Linked DNA regions of Saccharomyces cerevisiae S288C. Changing the gene in region 1 together with any one later gene gives a genetic interaction. Each region holds a gene or a part of one and is shown in the gene's direction. Other genes may lie near its edges.

The links.
Region 2: mutations in HXT8 (region 1) and SSO2 together harm fitness more than expected from each alone (negative genetic interaction), as found in Saccharomyces cerevisiae (2 studies listed by BioGRID).
Region 3: mutations in HXT8 (region 1) and CHS1 are lethal when combined (synthetic lethality), as found in Saccharomyces cerevisiae (2 studies listed by BioGRID, with this or other methods).

The regions. Positions count from the first base shown.
Region 1 is NC_001142.9:23,145-31,555, forward strand, and holds HXT8 (hexose transporter HXT8), read left to right. Parts: upstream 1-3,742; coding exon 3,743-5,452; downstream 5,453-8,411. Other genes in the region: REE1 (Ree1p), read left to right, coding at 1-585; oligo-1,6-glucosidase IMA5, read right to left, coding at 1,197-2,942. UniProt on the Saccharomyces cerevisiae protein: Probable glucose transporter.
Region 2 is NC_001145.3:624,331-632,082, reverse strand, and holds SSO2 (syntaxin), read left to right. Parts: upstream 1-4,274; coding exon 4,275-5,162; downstream 5,163-7,752. Other genes in the region: RTP1 (Rtp1p), read right to left, coding at 113-3,058; ADD37 (Add37p), read right to left, coding at 3,298-3,894; MIN3 (Min3p), read right to left, coding at 6,186-6,272; RGM1 (Rgm1p), read left to right, coding at 6,916-7,551. UniProt on the Saccharomyces cerevisiae protein: Required for vesicle fusion with the plasma membrane.
Region 3 is NC_001146.8:274,896-280,397, forward strand, and holds CHS1 (chitin synthase CHS1), read left to right. Parts: upstream 1-1,606; coding exon 1,607-5,002; downstream 5,003-5,502. Other genes in the region: YNL193W (uncharacterized protein), read left to right, coding at 1-1,149. UniProt on the Saccharomyces cerevisiae protein: Polymerizes chitin, a structural polymer of the cell wall and septum, by transferring the sugar moiety of UDP-GlcNAc to the non-reducing end of the growing chitin polymer. Required for mitotic division septum formation during adverse conditions.

The DNA.
Region 1 (8,411 bases):
AAGAATACTGAATTATCGCAAGGAACATGGCTCAATAAGCCAAAATCTGTTTTTCAAGAGGCAGGAAAAGTCACTCTGGAAACAGATGAAAAAACTGACTTTTGGCGTGAAACATTTTACGGATTTACCCGTGATAGCGGTCATTTTTTGGGAGTAGAGACAGGTAGTGCTTTTACTGCACAAGTCCGTGTTCAGGGAAGCTACGAGAGTCTTTATGATCAGGCTGGTATCATGGTTCGTATAGATGATGGACATTGGCTCAAAGCTGGCATAGAAATTTCTGATGGCCACGCAATGCTAAGCAGTGTTTTGACAAATGGAAAATCAGATTGGTCAACTGCTGTTTATGGCGGAAATGCTCGCGATTTCTGGCTTCGTGTTACTGTTGAAAAGGGCGTTTTGAGGATTCAGGTGTCCTCTGATAAAAAAACATGGCCGTTAGTACGTTTGGCTCCATTTCCAACTTCTGACCATTACCTTGTTGGACCAATGGCTTGCACACCTGAGCGTGGCGGATTGAAAGTTACTTTCTCGGAATGGAGTCTCACAGCTCCTTTAGGAAAAGCTTTACATGATTTGAGTTAGTTCACCTATATATCAATATATAAAGAGGGGTTTGCTTTTGTTAAGAACAAGGCCTGCACCTCACTAAGATCTGTTGATTTGGCACTATGCTTTTTAAAATTTTGTTTATACTCAATTTCGTCAAGATTTTTTTTACTAGTACAATCCATACAGTTAACAAAATACTGGGCAATAAGGCGTGCATACTACGAAATTTTTAGTTTTGTTATAATAAACGACTTTTAGCTAGTGTTTTAAGATAAAGTGACGAAAGTTAGGGTGAGAATAGTCGAATGTATTTACTAATTATTGAATTCGTGGTAATTAGTACTTATGATGATGGGGTTTAAAGGGCTAAATTTAGACAATAGAAACAGTAATAATGATGTTTTCTATTTTTCTGCTGTACGTTGCTTTTTATTTTATATTTCTTCGGAAAAAGGTTCAGTGAATTTTCTGTCTTCTATATACATATATAAATTGCAATTGAAAATAGCGTACAGCGTAAGTTAAGTATCCAATGCTCACATATGAAAAGCAAAAGTAAAAAGAAATATACAAGTTTATTATTCATAAATATCGGCATAACTATTTGTTTCGAAAGATCAGTACGTTTATGTTAAATGTGCTCGTTACTTCAACAAGTAAAGTCTTCCTTCCCATGGCTGCAAGGTGCGGGAATCACCATTTGAGTTTGCATAGTTGCCAAAAAACATGGTGTAGGAGGCCTCATTATCAGGAACTGAAAAGTCCGTATTATCGCTACTGAAATTGAAAACAGCAAACATTTTTTTGTTATCTGTGTCCTTTGTAAACATGAATAGCTTGTCATTATCAAGATCAATGAACTGAAAGTTATGTCCATAAACAAGGATATCTTTGTGCTCCTTTCTAACTTGTAAGGCCTTTTTCCAGAAAAAGAAGACTGAGTTTTTATCTTTTAACTCAGCTTCTGCGTTGATTCCGTCTCTAAATGATTCATTCATGTCAATCCATGGTTTGGCATCCTTCGAGAAACCTGCAGAAGGCTCATCAGCACTCCATGGGAATGGTGTTCTCCCATGATCTCTAGAGATCAAAGCTAATGCTTCAAAAAACTTTTTCATCTTTTCAGAATCTTCACCATAATCACGTTTAATGGCGGCATATGTACCAGTACCTTCAACGCATTTGATTTGCTCAATTTTTCTGTTTTTGAAGTTGGGCATACCCAATTCTTGTCCTTGGTAGATAAAAACAGTACCAGTCAATGAAATGATGAGAGTAGCCAACATCTTGGACGAAATCTCACGCCATTTAGGAGAATCTGAGCCAAAACGCGAAACGCTACGAGGTTGATCATGATTCTCCAAATAGATGGTCGACCAGCAATCTGTGTTTTCGATAAACAGAAAGCTTTCAGCAAGAGCCAGCTTAAAGTCTTTTAAAGTAAAGGGAATAAGTTCGTACTTGCATTTTGGGTTTTCACCTACTGAGGTGTGCTTGAAGTTGAACATCATATTTAGTTCTCCTTCTTTGGCACTGGTATAAACTCTGAAGTCGTCTTCATTCCCGATACCAACTTCTCCAACAGTCATGATTTCTTTACCCTCTGGAACTTGCGAGAGCATGTAGTTATGCATTTCTTTATGATACTCATGGATACGTGGCCCATTTATGAAAAATTCAGTTCCTTTTTGGTAAGGAACTGTAGGATCAGTGATAGGAGCATCGGGTAGGCCCTCAACCTTAGAATACATGCTGCCTACGTCAATACGAAAGCCATCAACGTTGTGACGTAGCCAATAGCCCACTGAGGAGTCATAAATGGCTTTACGGCACTCTTCATTTTCCCAATTGAAATCAGGTTGGCCAAGAGCAAACACATGCAGAAAGAACTCACCAGTTTTTTCGTCATATCTCCAAGCAGATCCACCAAAGAAAGATCTCCAATTGTTGGGAGGAATTGGATTACCTTTCTCATCGTAACCCTTTGGAGGTCTCCAGAAAAACCAGTCACGCTTTGGATTAGCCTTAGAAGATCTACTCTCCTTGAACCATTCATGCTCTTCAGAACAGTGGTTGATAACCAGGTCAACAATAACCTTGATACCTCTCTTATGAGCTTCTTCTATCATTTGGAAACAATCCTCATTGGTACCGTAACGTGGCCAAACCTTCTCATAGTTGGCAATATCGTAACCCATATCTTCTTGAGGAGAGTCATAAAATGGGCACACCCATATCGCATCGACACCTAATTCTTTGACATAGTCAAGTTTGGAGGTAATCCCAGCTAAATCACCCCATCCGTCATTGTTGGAGTCCTTGAAACTAGCAGGATAAATTTGGTAGACGGTGGCTTCTTTCCACCATTTAGGATTATGGATGATCGTCATGTTTTTCTTTTCAATATTGAGCACTTTCTATATAGTCATCAAGAAACAGTAGTTTTTCGCACCAAGATATGTGAACAAGTGTCCTAATTTATAATTCGTCAGACGTTTATGAACTTACTCCTCAAAACCGTATCAATTACCGTAGCGGTAATGGAAGATACAATTCTTAAGTGTGAATTACTTTTTCCGGTGAATTAGCTTCTAGGATTGTGACTATTTCAATGGACAATGTTGCAAATAGTTTCAAATATTCCCGTGTTTCTCCGAGGATTCTCCACGGAGGAAAAATAATGCAAAGTTTATTTCCCCGTTTTCTTTTCTCCGTCTAGGCATTTACGCTTTCACGCAACTTTATTATATCACCTCCGCGGGGATTCAACAACGAGGTATGTGGAGAAGGAGAGAAATTCCAGAGAAAGCAGCCTAGAGCATCCTGCTGCAGCAACTTATAAACGTATCTCACAGAAAAGGCCGGAGAAAGTTCTTGAAATGTGTAATTTAGCCTACCTGCCAAGCGGCTGGAATTATCCCGAGAATAATTCCGCGACCGGGCCTGTTCCTGAACTCTAAGAAGTTTTGGAATTTCCGAACGCTTCTTCGCATGAAAGACATGAACTCTTAAGTAAAATAATATGAACTGGCATGGTCGTAATCTTTTGGACGACGGAATATCATCGCTAACCATTGTAAGGGATGAAGCTTGACTAGATATATTTAAACGACCATTTTTGTTTCATTCTTATTTTAGATTGCATTTTTTATAAGTCACTTTTAGTTAGCTCAGAACGCCAGCAAAAACCATGACTGATCGTAAAACCAACTTGCCAGAAGAACCGATTTTCGAAGAGGCAGAAGATGATGGCTGCCCTTCGATAGAAAATTCTTCACATCTGTCAGTACCTACAGTGGAGGAAAACAAGGACTTTTCCGAGTATAATGGGGAAGAGGCAGAGGAAGTTGTTGTTCCAGAAAAGCCTGCTTCAGCCTATGCTACTGTTTCTATCATGTGTTTATGTATGGCTTTCGGTGGATTTATGTCCGGTTGGGACACAGGTACGATTTCTGGTTTCGTCAATCAGACTGATTTTTTAAGAAGATTTGGTAATTATAGCCATTCCAAGAACACTTACTACTTATCTAATGTGAGAACTGGGTTGATTGTGTCCATCTTCAATGTGGGAAGCGCCATTGGCTGTCTTTTCTTGTCTAAATTGGGTGATATTTACGGCCGCTGCATGGGTTTGATTATAGTTATTGTCGTTTATATGGTTGGTATTGTCATTCAAATTGCCTCTATAGATAAGTGGTATCAGTATTTTATTGGAAGAATTATCGCTGGTATAGGTGCTGGTTCCATTAGTGTTCTTGCCCCGATGCTTATTTCGGAAACTGCGCCAAAGCATATCAGAGGTACGTTGCTAGCTTGTTGGCAATTGATGGTGACTTTCGCAATTTTCTTGGGTTATTGTACCAATTATGGTACCAAGACTTACTCGAATTCTGTCCAGTGGCGTGTTCCGCTTGGTCTATGTTTTGCATGGGCTATTATTATGATTGGTGGTATGACGTTTGTTCCGGAATCTCCTCGGTTTTTGGTGCAAGTCGGTAAGATTGAGCAAGCTAAAGCTTCTTTTGCCAAGTCGAACAAGCTTAGTGTTGACGATCCTGCTGTGGTTGCAGAGATTGATCTTCTTGTTGCTGGTGTGGAGGCAGAAGAAGCAATGGGAACTGCTTCATGGAAGGAATTATTTTCGAGAAAGACTAAAGTTTTTCAACGTTTAACGATGACAGTCATGATTAACTCTCTGCAGCAACTAACCGGTGACAACTATTTCTTCTACTACGGTACTACTATCTTCAAATCTGTCGGTATGAATGACTCTTTTGAGACTTCAATTGTCTTGGGTATTGTGAATTTTGCTTCTTGCTTCTTTTCACTTTATTCTGTTGATAAGTTGGGCCGTCGTAGATGTCTTTTACTTGGAGCAGCCACCATGACGGCGTGCATGGTTATTTACGCCTCCGTTGGCGTCACAAGACTATATCCGAACGGTAAAAGTGAACCATCATCTAAAGGTGCTGGTAATTGTACGATTGTTTTCACGTGTTTTTACATTTTCTGCTTTTCCTGCACCTGGGGACCTGTATGTTATGTGATTATTTCTGAAACATTTCCATTAAGGGTGAGATCCAAGTGTATGTCCGTTGCAACAGCGGCCAACTTATTGTGGGGGTTCCTAATCGGGTTTTTCACTCCTTTTATTACTTCGGCAATTAATTTCTACTACGGTTACGTTTTCATGGGTTGCTTAGCGTTTTCATATTTTTACGTCTTTTTCTTTGTTCCAGAAACAAAAGGTCTAACTTTAGAAGAAGTTGATGAGATGTGGATGGACGGTGTATTACCTTGGAAATCTGAATCCTGGGTACCAGCTTCTAGAAGGGATGGTGATTATGATAACGAAAAATTACAGCATGACGAGAAACCCTTCTACAAAAGAATGTTTTAGACCGGTGAAAACACACGCAAGCAAACTTCAAAGTACATTGATAAATAATGTCCAATGCCCTCTGTAATATAGGGGCTTTTTAATTCCTAAGACTGATTCGATATATTAAACACCAGGGCTACTGAAGACTGACAGTCACGTTGAGTCCTATTATATCATTTTACTCACAGAAGATTTGGTAATATGATACTTAGATGGGCTTAACAACAAAGTGTTTTCTTGATGTTACTGCCCATGAAAAAAAGCAAATCAAATTAGTAGGCGGATTGTTAACTTTGTTTATTTTGAAACCCGTCAGGACTACCAAAATATAACAAAGTATTGATTATCGTCAACGCTTTATAGATCACTTTTTTTTTTTTTTGAGGAACCGATTAATTAATACATCGTAGCCTCTGCTTATTGCATAACACAACAAAAAAATACAATAATACGCAACTTTTGTTTATAGAAAAATAAAAATGGAACATATGATATTCTCTGTTCGTCATATGATAACTTAAGCACTTTCGTGTGTACATAGGTATTCTAGTGCATTGGAATGAGATCAATTATGATTTCCTAACCCAGAATTTATATTACTAATGATTTCAGAATTAATAAAAGCTGAAATAAAAGGAGTAGCAATGTAATAGGAAATAAACGAGGGCACATAGAAAGGAAGAAGAAAAATTACATTATGTGGAATTATTGATTCCCTTGGCAATTTCCCATAGTCTCATGAAAATTCCTGGCCTATTCTGTATTCATAATTCCATACTCTTTTTTAACAATGAAACTCCGGTAATTACCACAATATTTACTTATATCTCAATACGAACGCATGTTCTCTTCGAGGAAGACCAGCATTAGCGCTAAGCGCTAAGCGATGAGTTGACTTAATTTTTAAAAGGACGATGTTGGCGCGTTAGTGCATAAGAAAGTCAGCAAATCCCTTTAAGCTGAAAACCTTGATATATTTCTCGGCCTTTAATAATGGCGCAACTGATTTTAATTATCTTTGAATGGCTTATCTGTAACGAACATGTGTTACTAAACTAGTAGTAAGTTAGAAATACTGTTTATCCAGAATATGTAAGTTGGTGCTTCTAAAGTAATATAAGACCGCTTTAATTTGTTGTAACCTCTGAAATACAGGTAACCGCTGGGTCATCTCCTATCTAACTTTTGGTAAAAATGACATCGAAAAGAACAATTTTCGAAATATTCAATTTGTTCGGGTGTCGGTTTAATGCTCAAGGCCCCAATATTTCATAATAGGATTCTAAGAATTGCAGAAAATTCAGCTATGTTTCACCCATTTTGTTATTGGTGAAAACCGCCAAATCGATATCGATATAGTCACATTTTAGAGCGTGCCGATAGTCTCTAAACTTACACGAACGTCATTATTTGTAAGTAGACAACTGGGAATTTTAAAAAAGGTTGAGAAGATTCGTTTTATAAAATATGACGTCGTAAAAGAAGAAAGTGACAATACTGTTGCTGCGGGTTAAAAAAATAATTCTCCTACAAGCTTGAGACCTTTATTACAATTCCTACCTAAATTGGCTCTTCAGGGGGGTTTTCTAGGCAGGTATCTCTAGAATTTACTCAAGAAGTTTATTTTCTAGTGCCAAAAAGTCTACTGCTGATATTCGCTTCTACTGATTAAGAGCTGCTTTAAACCATCTTGTTGCAACATTGAGTTTGGACTTAAAGCCTCAAGTTGTTAGTGATGTTGCTTTTCAGGATGACGTGTAGTTGATCATCTTACAGAAAAGGAAGCAATGGTACGTATAAGATATTATTTTAAATGAGAAGTAGCTGGTCTTCAAATCACAGACATTGTGATGGCAAAGCAGTGATAAATAAAGTTTTCACACCCAAAGCAACATCTTTCCAAACCGTTTGTGTGCCGTGGTGAACAGATAGAAGAGGGCACTGTTATTCAAATTTTGAGGGTCGGGAGAATTAACTCGTTAATTATTCCTGGTGTCGAATTTGCGTCATTCCTAAACTTGGATATTCTTATATGGCAAAAAAAGAATTTTTTATGCCACCAACACGACGGCATATTCTGGAGTGATTATAGCCACTGCTAACAAGATAAGGCGGTAACACCCGATTGTGCAGATGTCCTCATTTATCCTGTTTCCGAGCATTTGATTAACCGTCTCTGTGAGACCAGTTAAAGACCTCTCTCAAGAAAAATATGTAAATTTTTTTCAGCCACTTTATCGGCACTGGAACGAAACGATATGGTATTCCCAGTATCAGCCACGGCCCCGTGTAAGCCGTAAAGTAAACAAAAATTTTTACCACTAATTTCGTTGCGTATCAATTTATACTATTCTTTGTGAAAACCTACACAGACTACCAACAGAAATTTTTTTGGTCAAACGAGTCCAGTCTGGTTATTCGCTGGTTCATGTAAAATGTTAGCACCATCTACAGATTCCGAACATTAAAATCGTATTATGCATAATATAGACATTAATGAGCAATCTGTTCATTACCCCCTTATCGTATGGCAACAGCTATTCCTGATGTAATAGTGATGTTATATTGCTTTCGCCATTATTAATTTTGAGGAAGCTTTCCAAACAGATTACATAGCTAACTAATTGCAATTTTGCGACGCCATAAGGATACGCGATTTCCTCCTTTTCTTTTTCGCGTTGTTCTGTGCGCTCTTTTTTTCAGCCAAAAAGGGTTCCTGAACAAAAAGACCCTGTTTTTTTTCTGCCTGTTAACTCTGATCTTAAAAAGTTACCAATTTTCTAACATTTCTCAATAAAGACCCTTCGATAAACAAGATTCTTGAGAAATAAAAATTTTTGTGACGTTTACTTTTGAAAGTCCTTGAAGAATTCATTACTAATAGAGAAAAAATGGTGATAATTTTTTTACTTCACCTCCTTTCTACTATCCCTCTTATTCGGATTATCTAGCTTTAACTTCGCCAGTTTTTTCTTGA
Region 2 (7,752 bases), on another chromosome or scaffold:
TAACTTTCTATTGGTAATGGCTGCTGTTCTATGAATACAAAAAGAAAGAATATAAAAGAACGTAAATATTAATTTTGCCTAAGAAGCAAATTATAATCAAATGCGTAATGGGTTATAAACTATCTAGTACGGTTAAAAGCTTGTCAATCTGTTCACAAACCATGTAATCTTCATCTTGATCACGAACGTAAGATAATAGTGTTTTTAGCTTATCGTAGTTGTACTCAAAGGGAAGTAAATCAAATCCTGTACTGTACAACAAATCATGTATCAAGTGTACGGCACTTCTTCTCATCAAAAAAGAATCATCCTTGTCCTTCAAATGATTTTGTGGTTGTTCTAATTGCAATATTCCAAATACACAATCCAGCATATCGCGAATTCTATCCGAGACACCCCTGGCGTTGATTTGAAGGCACATACCTAAGATTGACATGGATGACATACGCCATCTATTGTCCAATGGTTTACTATCATTTGGCCTCACAATACTAAGACAGGTATCTATAATCAGATAAGCCAATTTACCCTGGAACAATTCGTTCTGACGTTGAATGTAATTGATGAACACTTCTCCAACTTTCAGCACATCATCTAATCTGTTTTTCTTTTTTTTGTTAGCATAAAATTCTGCAAGTAGAGGCAATATGGTTTCTGGCTCTAATTCACATAGCGTTGTAAGTCCTTTAATAACGTTGAGATAAATGAAAGGGTCCATATTCTTTAAATAATCTAAATGTATTTGCAACACCTTTTCCAGTGAAATTACTGGAGACTTCTTTTCAGCTAGATGACGTAGTTCTGTTAAACCATAAGATTTTATGGGCACTAAAGGATCATGTAGACTAGTTATCGCTTTGTCAAGCCTTTCCTCATCCATCTCAATTTCTATGTTGTCGTTCCTTTCCGTAGTATGTCCGTTAATCAATATATTATCTATTGATGCCAATAATGCATCTATTTCGGAAGCATTAGTGTTGAAAGATTGTAATTTTCTAGAAATGGATTTCAATATATAACTGTTTTGCAATAATATACTACTGGACGATTCTGAAAGGACGGTTGATAATAACTGCAAGATAATTTTGTAGGAAGAATTTTCATTTGGATCCAATTCTTCTGTTTCTTCTCCTTCTTCAACTTCGTCGTCAGAATCTGCTTCTACTTCCTGTATTGTTTCATCTTTTTCCTGAACAACATCTATCAATTGATCAATAACAATAAGAACGTCCTTAGGTTTATTAACAATCTTGGTTTTAAATCGGTTGTTCATACATTCCAAAAGTTTCAAGTCCATGAGTATTAACGCGTTATCTGTAACGCTTGGCATCCCGCTATGATTATCGGAAGATCTTTTTTCACTTTTTTTTGTATGATGGACCCATCTTTTCAGAATATCTAAAAATAAAGTCTTTGATTGTTCCTCATCATTTAGCAGCACTAAAAATTCCATAAATAATTCTATCGAAAGGTCCATATCTTGAAGAAACTCAGAAATTTGAGAGTTTTTGGATCCTTTTTCGAAAAACAACTCTGCCATATCTGTGTTTTTAACCGATATGTAGGGTAGCTGAGTATCAAGATCAATTAAATACTTCCATTTCTCGTGCTCAAAATTCAGTAAGTTAAGGCTCAGTACATTTAGATATTGAAAATTTTCTGTTATGACTATTAGAGATTTTAATAATGATAATACAACCTCGTAATACTTTGAGGAAGATTGCTCTGGAAAATGTATGCTGTCTGTGCTTTTATTATCTGAAATAGACAATTTGTTTATTTCTAATGGGTCTAGTTTTTGGTTTTTCTTCAAAAAAAGAGCATATATCCATACATATAAAAAGAACTGTCCAGGCGTAGTACCGTCTTCATCAGGGCAACTAGTAACTAAATCATTCAGCAAATCCGATGAAGAATTTTTGGATAAAGATATAAGAACGTTTATAACATCGTTCAGTTCCTTTGCTGTATGATCAGTTAACGGGGAATTAAAGATAATGGAGCGGACCTTCTTAAACAAAAAATCGTTAACAATCCTCTTATTCCTCAGGTAAAATTTAAGGATTAGTCCGTTCAAACAAGTGACCAGGATAGGCCTGTTCACAAAGGTGAGACCATCATAAATTTGCTTGAATAGTTCCGTCAAGTATTGCAAATTTGTCATTGTTTTTGGCTTACTCATCAAAATTTGGTAGATACGGTTAAACTTTTCAATATCTATATCTTCAGCATCTCTCACACCCAAAACGAAATCAATCAAGCTGATCAGACCATTTTCCGGTCTTCGTAGAGTTAACGTTGTTAACTTCGAAAGGATTGGCTCCCTAACCTTTTCGTCTTGAATTGTTTCTACTAGTAGAGTGTAAACCCCAAACAAAGTATAAGTTTCTTGAGTATCTTCTAGATTTGTAATCATTTGTGAAGAGTACCTATTAGGCAACTGCAAATGTAACACAATCAAACCTAATAAAATGTTTGCGTAAGCACTGCCTTTTGATATTATTTCTCTCAGGTAGTCAGAAGACCTCTCACTAGTTAGAACATTATAAAAGACAGTTATGACTTGAGATAAAGTATCGTTATTTATGGTGTGCCATCGAGGCGTTTCATATTCTGCGCTTTTTTGGCCCTTCTTGAAAGTATTTATTCTTTTCGAATCGAATGGAATTTTCATCGTAGGAGACAAATTAGCATCTATACCATGAATAATCAAAAGATTTATCAGTTCGTCTACGTATTTCATATCATGCAATGAGATAGGCAATAAGTCACTTTTACTTTCGATGAGCCTCCGTTGCTGTTCTAGTACGTGAATGTGCAAATTCTGGAATTTCTGTAAAAGTACTGCAACAAACTCATTGTTATTTGAGCACTTCAACGCCTGATAAATGGAAGAGGATGATGATGAGCCTGAATCAAGAACATATTCGTTTATGGGAGTAATTACATTGTCATCCAGATCTTCGAAGAAAACATCTAGGGCTGTCTTTTTGGTGAGCTTCGGTCTTGTATTCAATATATCGTGTATGTTGATCTTTTGCTCTTTATCCTCATTCATTTTCCAACCTTTTGTTTTTCTTGATCTGATATGACAAGAAGAAACATGAGGCGGTGATGAGCCCTTATTGCTATATGCTGTTCGACGCGATGAGATGATTACATGTTTTTTATTAAATTTCTCAAGCAGACTGCGGGTAACCTTGATTTTTAATTATTCAATAGGAATTCTTTTTTTTTTTAGAAAATAAAATGTTCTGCGTAGTGTACTTCTATTTATAAATATAATAATATTATTGATTAATTAGGCATCGCATTTTCAAAAATTTTTAAGAATGCGGGACACCAATTTGAGATTGTTGTGTCAGTAACCATCCAATGTTTAATGGTTTTCACGGCCATATTTTTGTCTTTTTCATTGAAAATCTGGGATAGTACTGTTTTGGTGTGCTCGTTTTGTAAAATCTTGGTAATGTTTGAATCTAATTTTTTCTTGTAAAATTCCAACTCCTTCGAAGAGAGCTTCGAGCCACACACACAGAGGTCGTTGATCTTAGCCACTAATTCTTCTTTACTGCATAATATCGGCTGGAGCTGTCTATCGCCTTGGTCTTTTACGAGCACACCTTCACAGGCAGATTCTTGTTGAGCAGCAGTTACAGATGGCCTCCTCAAAACTGGTGGCGGCGTAGTAGCTGTTTTAGTGTTCCCATAAAGATCTAACACTTCTGTGGCAAGTCTGCCGCTAACACATCTTTTCGATTTCGTTCTTTGTTTAGATTTGGATCTAGGTCCGCTATTAGGGTCGATAGAAAACAAAACTGTCGGACAGTCGTTATAACCAGGCACTTCAGCTTCTAGACAATTCTGAAAACTTTTGGTTGGTTTAATAGCCATCGTACGTAATAGTATGTGCGGAAATAGATTGACGAAGAACCGACAGATGCGCGTCTACTGAAGCTCTTATGAGTAGCCTGTGTGAATAAAGAAGCCAGCTAAAAGTAAATATGTGGCATCTTTATGTCTTACGAGCCGGGTACCAAGCGGCAGCAAAGGGTCCCCCCTAAACGACGTGCTTATCACCCGGCCGTTGTTTACGAAATGGCCTTTTTTGACGTTTTTAGTTTCAATGGATGGATGAAAAAAGCAAGTAAAATGACAAATAAATGCTGTTGGCAGGTTAAATCGTTTAATATACCCATAAGAGAGCTGGAATAGTGTGGAATTGTAATACTTTACATTTGAAAACTGCCCATACACGCACAAATATTGCAGCAATGAGCAACGCTAATCCTTATGAGAATAACAATCCGTACGCTGAAAACTATGAAATGCAAGAGGACTTGAACAATGCTCCTACTGGTCACTCAGATGGTAGCGACGATTTCGTAGCTTTTATGAACAAGATCAACTCAATAAATGCTAACTTGTCCAGGTACGAAAACATTATCAACCAAATTGATGCGCAACACAAAGACCTACTTACTCAAGTGAGTGAGGAACAGGAGATGGAATTGAGACGTTCTTTGGACGATTACATCTCTCAGGCCACAGATTTGCAGTATCAATTGAAAGCGGATATCAAAGATGCCCAGAGAGACGGATTGCACGACTCTAATAAACAGGCACAAGCTGAAAATTGCAGACAGAAATTCTTAAAATTAATTCAAGACTACAGAATTATCGATTCTAACTACAAAGAAGAAAGCAAAGAGCAGGCGAAGAGACAGTACACAATTATCCAACCGGAAGCCACTGACGAAGAAGTGGAAGCCGCCATCAACGATGTCAATGGCCAGCAGATCTTTTCCCAAGCGTTGCTAAACGCCAATAGACGTGGTGAGGCCAAGACAGCATTGGCCGAAGTACAGGCTAGACATCAAGAGTTGTTGAAGTTGGAAAAAACAATGGCTGAACTTACCCAATTGTTCAATGACATGGAAGAGTTGGTCATCGAACAACAAGAAAATGTGGATGTCATTGACAAAAACGTCGAAGACGCTCAGCAAGATGTAGAGCAAGGTGTGGGTCACACCAACAAGGCCGTTAAGAGTGCCAGAAAAGCAAGAAAAAACAAAATAAGATGTTTGATCATCTGCTTTATTATCTTTGCTATTGTTGTTGTCGTTGTGGTTGTTCCATCCGTTGTGGAAACAAGAAAGTAATAGAGCACATGCGCCTCCCTCCCGCCAGCCCCCCAATTCCTATTATGTGTAATCAAACAATTTCTATTAAAACCGAAAACCTAAAAATTGTAACGTCTTTTCTCTTTCCTACTATACCCTCCTCATACCTGCCTTTTTAACAATTAGTATTATAATTTTTTTTTTTCACAAAAAGACAATACCGACTATCTAATAAATAATTTTAATACGTATGTAATTTCGTTAAGAACAAGAATTTTTAAGTAAAAAATCTTACTTTTAAGAAAAACTGTCGCCCTTAATATTAGTCCCAATTTTGTAACGAAAAATAAAATACAAATCGGGGTGGAAAAAGGGAAATTTTACAACATTATTATTCCAAAAACTAGTTTTCAAAAAGTAAATCGTGGGGGTATGAACAACAATTGTTGTAGTCGCAACTACGGTAATTGGTCCTAAAAAATTATTCTCCGGGAAAAAAAGAAGAAACAAAGAGATCCCGAAACATAAGTCCCGTGATTCTTTTTGCCCCCCGCTTTCTTTCGCCAAGAGAAGAGCAATTTATTGAAAGGCTTTTCTTGATGTTTTTGGGTTGTGAAAGCGTTAATAGCGCCAAGTTAGAATAGTAAATATCACAACTACAATATCTACACTTCTCACTTGCGCATTAACCTGCACACGTACTAGACTTTATCTGTCTTGATTGTTACTTCTAGACCAATCAACATTGAAGCGCTCGGCAAATGCTTGACAAGAAAAAAAACTAATTTTCCCTTCGCCTTTTATAGTGCCCATCGGATAGGATATTCCATCTTTGTCTTGCGCCCACTTCGTTGTCGTTACCCGCACGTTGTGTTTTTTGAGGGCTTGAGCAAATTCTTACAGTTAAGGTACAATAGTTGTCTCGAAGAGCAGTACATCAACGGCCTGACGACCTACAGTAGCACTTTCCTTTAAGTGTATATAAACTTTCCTTTTCGGTAAGGGATGCAGGAGAAAGGGCGAGTTTTGTTTATATGCGATCCTTTATGGTAACCTTTGCGGTTAATTCAGCATTATGGTTGCTGATGCACACTTAACGAGGGGAAGAAATATTATGTTACATGCATGAAACGCACTCGGTTTTCTCATGGTCTTTCTTTTTTCGGGATTTCTTTTAATAATATCTTTAAAGTATTACTGGTAGTCGGTCTTTCCCCACACAAAAAAAATTAAAAAAAAAAAAAAAAAAAAGAAACTTTCCGGCGCTCCTTCAGGAGTCTCGTAACTGATGCTTTTTCTCTTCCTAATATTAAGATAAAAAAAAAATTAAACACCGGTAGCAACTTCTCGAGCCATAGGGTCCTGCACACCCTGCCATGTTACCGCACGGACCATTAAGTTACGTGGATGCCGGACTCTCAAGCCATGAAAAGTTTATCTTTATTTAAGTAGAGTTTTTCCTTCTTCTCAAATTTCTGAGAATTTTTATCTTCGATCATTCCCTCTTTTTTTCTTTTTTTCTTTTTTTCTTTTTTTCTTTTTTTTTTCCCTTCTCTTACTTTCTTATTTTTTTTTTTCATTCCTCAGCGGATCCCTTCAATCGTTTATAACATTATTTTCCTTCTCTTTTCTTTCATTGTATCTTCTTGATTTCAACTATTGTTTGTGTGTATATGAACAGACGCCTCCTTCTCTTTCTTTCGTGTATTCTTGATTCAATTGCGACTTCATAGCACTATTCCTCCCCACTCACGTCTATAGTCCAGGACAATTAGCATGACACTGGTTAAACATGAGAGGAAAACAACCGAAAAGGAACAAAGACAACGCTTCTGTCAAGAGAAATTATAGATGCGTGGGATATCCTGATTGTAACATGAGTTTCAATAGGACCGAACATTTGGCTAGACATATCAGGAAACACACAGGGGAGAAACCATTCCAATGCAATATCTGCCTTAAATTCTTCAGTAGAATCGATAACTTAAGACAACATCAATCTTCTGTTCATTCGGACGTTGATTTGATGTCCTTACGTAGACTGCAGCAGTCCGCAAATAGCACTGCGAACGACCCTAACGCAACAAGAATGTTCCCGCAATTACGCCCATATGGAATTGTTGTCCAGCCCGCGCCTGTTCCATACAATCTGCCCATATCAACTCCTGCTAGCCCACAAGACACTATATCTCTTTACGCACCACCATACTTCCCTCATCCTATGCCATCTGCTCCCATACCATTGCCGCATCAGCCTCCTCCACTACCAATATACAGCTATATGCAACCACTCTTCCTGAACCACACTCCCATACAAAACCACAACATTGTAGAGCTCCCTCCAGATAGCAGTGACACTCCAGCATCGCCGTCTAAGGTGCAAAGTTTTGACCAGGCCAAGGACGCTTCACCAAACGCAAAAAAATAAGCTCTACCGCACCCACTCCTCCATTTCACAAGCCGCATCATTGCTGCTATTGTACCCTCTTGGCCATTCGCGTGCGCGTTGATTGCCGTTATTATGCAGATATTTTGATATCGCTTGCCGTTTGGCTCATCTCCGCGCCCTTAAAATATATCCGCTTCTGTTGGGAAATGCCGAGCATAAAAATGCCGAAAATATAAAAAG
Region 3 (5,502 bases), on another chromosome or scaffold:
TTGACAAACAAGTATATTGAAATCTTTCAACACCTGGTTAATTATCTGTTACAAGAACTACAAAACTGGAGTGAAAATGCAGAACAAGATTCCGATGACACAGATACGGAATTGCAAAGAGATACTTTGGATGAAGACGCGATGCAAGTTACCAGGGACGGAAGTGGTATCCGAACCAATGGACCTGTACAACCTCCAGCAGAAGTTATGGACGTTTCTGAACAAGTGACTCCGTCTTCACTTACCGAAGTACTCGCCAACTCTTTAAAGTTCAACCATGCTTTGATGGAATTGGTTATTGAGTCGAAAATATCTATTGAAAAAAATGTCGAAACGAAAATCTTGAATCCTATTCAGATTAATTTCTTGGAAGATACAACCAATAAATTCTATTTACAACTACGCGACATTATAGACTCCATTTCCGCCGCCATTCCATTAGATTTGAAGGAAATCGGTTTAGCCAAGACTTTAATTGAAGGTTTGAACATCATTAGCTCCGGAACCTTCGAGTCATTGCAAGATTTTGTTCTGCAAACCGTCTCCTTTACCGATCTGCTTGATGAAAAAGATGTACAGGGTAAGATTGATCTTTCGTTGATTAGAGTTGATATCGTTGAATTTGCCATTCTATGTTTAAACGATTATTCTTCAGATGCATCTTGGAAACTCTCTGGGTTATTGACCAAAGTTCTTACAGAGGCTAGAACTTTATTAACAGACTATAGAAATCAAATCTTGTTTCTGAAAAATCAGACATTGAACGAACAATTGAGTCACGTAGTTTTTCAACTTTGTGATGTCTTAGTAAATTCCTCCGATAATGAACTGAGAAGGTACGCTATAAAAGAATCAACTGAAAAGTCACAAAAAACCCCCGGGGGAGCGCATACTTTAAACATATTGATGAAAAACGCTAACGTTTTTCTGAATAATGCTGTCGCTATCTCATCAAAACAGTGCGGGTTACAAGAAACGATTATTGATAAACTGAAGAGGAACTATATCCATAATCAAGCCAAGGAAAGACTACTTTTCTTACAGAGGCTGGAACAGAAGTCAAATGAGGATGACGGTACTTCTGCTTCGCCTACCGCAATGACGTTCGATATGCCACCAGAACACCCTTTTTATAGCCACTATCGGTAGTGAAATTACGTACATATACATAAGTAGAAGATAATTCGTTGCGCATATGCTACAAGAACCCTTGGTGAAACGAAATTTGATACAAGTAAATACATGCAGGAAACATACATTACCTCTGAAACAAAGCCGAGACGGGGCCCAGCAGTCTTTTTTTAGAAATCGCGTGGCTTGGTAACGCGATAATGACGCGACACAGCCATTAGTGTGAAATTTGATTTTCTTGGCCAAACTAGGTATAATATTTGTTACAAATTATTGATTTTAATATATATCTCGGGTTCATTTTTTACGTCGGTACTCCAAAGGATCAGAACACTTACATTTTGAGGCCTACCGGACCTTGCAGTACTGCTTGTTTAAATACGCAGTATACATTTCTTCTTCTTCTTCTCTCTTCTTTCCTTCCTCGAAGAGTCACTAAATTAATACTGGGAAGCCAAACCAAAAAAACTATACAATGAGTGATCAAAATAATCGATCGAGAAATGAATATCACTCAAACCGGAAGAATGAACCTTCCTATGAACTCCAAAATGCACATAGCGGGCTATTTCACTCTTCTAATGAAGAATTAACAAACAGGAACCAAAGATATACCAATCAAAATGCCAGCATGGGTTCATTCACTCCAGTCCAATCTTTGCAATTTCCAGAACAATCTCAGCAAACAAATATGCTTTATAACGGTGACGATGGCAATAATAATACTATCAATGATAACGAACGAGACATATATGGAGGTTTTGTCAACCACCATCGCCAGCGTCCCCCACCAGCAACTGCAGAATACAATGACGTTTTTAATACGAATAGTCAACAGCTACCGTCGGAACATCAATACAATAACGTACCTTCATATCCACTTCCTTCGATAAATGTGATTCAAACCACTCCAGAACTCATACATAACGGCTCACAGACTATGGCCACCCCCATCGAAAGGCCCTTCTTTAACGAAAACGACTACTATTATAATAACAGGAACTCTAGGACGTCACCGAGTATTGCTTCTAGTAGCGATGGTTATGCAGATCAGGAAGCTAGGCCCATTTTGGAGCAACCCAACAATAACATGAATAGCGGTAATATTCCTCAATACCATGACCAACCTTTTGGATACAACAATGGTTACCATGGCCTACAGGCAAAAGATTACTATGACGATCCGGAGGGTGGTTATATTGATCAGAGAGGAGATGACTATCAGATTAATTCATATTTGGGTAGAAACGGTGAAATGGTTGATCCTTACGATTATGAAAACAGTTTAAGACATATGACTCCTATGGAGCGTAGAGAATATCTTCATGATGATAGCAGACCCGTAAACGATGGAAAAGAAGAATTAGACAGTGTGAAAAGCGGTTACTCTCATAGAGACTTGGGGGAATATGACAAGGATGATTTTTCAAGGGATGACGAGTACGATGATCTCAACACTATTGATAAATTACAGTTTCAAGCTAATGGTGTACCTGCATCATCCTCGGTGTCTTCTATCGGATCTAAAGAATCCGACATAATAGTAAGCAATGATAACTTAACCGCAAATAGAGCACTAAAGAGAAGCGGTACTGAAATTAGGAAATTCAAACTTTGGAATGGTAATTTTGTTTTCGATTCTCCAATCAGTAAGACGCTATTGGACCAATACGCTACTACAACAGAAAATGCAAACACTTTACCAAATGAGTTTAAGTTTATGAGATATCAAGCAGTTACTTGCGAACCTAATCAACTTGCAGAGAAGAATTTCACGGTGAGGCAGTTGAAGTATTTAACTCCAAGGGAAACGGAATTGATGCTAGTAGTCACAATGTATAATGAAGACCATATCCTGTTAGGAAGAACTTTGAAAGGTATTATGGACAATGTCAAATATATGGTGAAAAAAAAAAATTCAAGCACTTGGGGGCCGGATGCATGGAAAAAGATTGTCGTTTGTATCATTTCAGATGGTAGATCCAAAATTAATGAACGCTCGCTAGCATTACTAAGTTCGTTAGGTTGTTACCAGGACGGGTTTGCTAAGGATGAAATTAATGAAAAAAAAGTGGCAATGCATGTCTACGAACATACGACAATGATCAACATCACAAATATTTCGGAATCAGAGGTTTCATTAGAATGCAATCAAGGTACCGTTCCAATACAACTTTTGTTTTGTTTGAAAGAGCAAAATCAGAAAAAAATTAACTCACATAGATGGGCATTTGAAGGCTTTGCAGAATTACTGCGTCCCAATATCGTTACATTGTTAGATGCTGGTACCATGCCAGGTAAAGATTCTATTTACCAGTTATGGAGAGAGTTCAGGAATCCAAATGTTGGTGGCGCATGTGGTGAAATAAGAACTGATTTGGGTAAGAGATTTGTAAAGCTTTTGAATCCTTTAGTTGCATCACAGAATTTCGAATACAAAATGTCCAATATTTTAGACAAAACAACCGAGTCTAACTTTGGATTTATTACTGTTCTACCGGGGGCATTCTCTGCGTATAGGTTTGAAGCTGTGAGAGGCCAACCATTACAGAAGTACTTTTATGGTGAAATTATGGAAAATGAAGGTTTTCATTTTTTTTCTTCCAATATGTATCTTGCTGAAGATCGTATTTTATGCTTTGAAGTGGTCACAAAAAAAAATTGTAATTGGATTTTGAAATACTGCAGAAGTTCTTATGCTTCAACAGATGTACCGGAGAGGGTCCCTGAATTTATTCTTCAGAGGAGGCGTTGGTTGAATGGTTCATTTTTTGCTAGTGTATATTCCTTTTGTCATTTTTACAGAGTCTGGAGCAGTGGTCATAATATTGGTAGAAAACTCCTTTTGACGGTTGAATTTTTTTACCTTTTCTTCAATACATTGATTTCATGGTTTTCATTGAGTTCATTTTTCCTAGTCTTTAGAATTCTCACTGTTTCTATTGCACTGGCATACCATTCAGCATTTAATGTGTTGTCCGTCATATTCCTGTGGCTTTATGGGATTTGTACCTTATCAACATTCATACTGTCATTGGGTAATAAACCTAAAAGTACTGAGAAATTTTATGTTCTAACTTGCGTCATTTTTGCGGTGATGATGATTTACATGATATTCTGCAGTATATTCATGAGTGTCAAATCCTTCCAAAATATATTGAAAAACGATACCATCAGCTTTGAGGGTTTGATTACCACAGAAGCTTTCAGGGATATTGTTATCTCTCTGGGCTCCACTTATTGTTTGTACCTAATCAGTTCAATTATCTATTTGCAGCCATGGCATATGTTGACAAGTTTTATTCAGTATATTTTATTGAGTCCTTCTTACATCAATGTTTTGAATATCTATGCATTTTGTAATGTCCACGACTTATCATGGGGTACAAAGGGTGCAATGGCAAATCCGCTGGGTAAGATTAATACTACAGAAGATGGTACGTTCAAAATGGAAGTTCTGGTCTCTAGTTCAGAGATTCAAGCAAACTACGATAAATATTTGAAAGTTTTAAATGACTTCGATCCAAAATCAGAATCTCGGCCTACTGAGCCATCTTATGATGAAAAAAAGACTGGCTATTATGCAAACGTTAGATCTCTCGTGATTATCTTTTGGGTCATCACAAATTTCATCATCGTTGCTGTTGTCTTAGAAACCGGTGGGATTGCAGATTATATTGCTATGAAATCCATATCAACTGATGACACTTTAGAAACTGCAAAGAAGGCGGAAATTCCCTTAATGACCAGTAAGGCCTCAATTTATTTTAATGTAATTTTATGGTTAGTTGCATTATCGGCATTAATAAGGTTCATTGGTTGCTCAATATACATGATAGTAAGGTTTTTTAAAAAGGTTACATTTCGCTAAGTAGATTGATTACCCCTTTGTTATAAATAAGTATATGTGTTTACTATCATATAATAATTAATTAGTTGTAAGTATGGTATTTTTCAAAGAAACATTTAGTATTATTTTTAAAGGGTGCCTTTACCATAAAACCAAAAAAAAATGGCTTCTGAGAGAAAAACATAAATAATTGATAAAACTGAAACTCACAACACCAACTCTTCCGCTCTAAACACCCAAAGCTCAAAAAACGACATGTGCACATCTATATCCATAAACTTTCAAAAAAGTGGTTCATTCGCAAATTCATGAAGTATTATTTAATACACAGTAATCTGGCATTTCATACTATCATTGCTCAAATTATCCGCCGGACCCTTGAAACTGTGGCGCTTTTTAAGACGCATCTCCAAAAAAAGAAAAAGAACAAAAGAAAAAAAGCTGCAAATATATATACAAAACAGATTTCACGTTTATTGCTTGGGAGTAAGGTAACGATCCGGAAGCCTTGAAGAAATTTG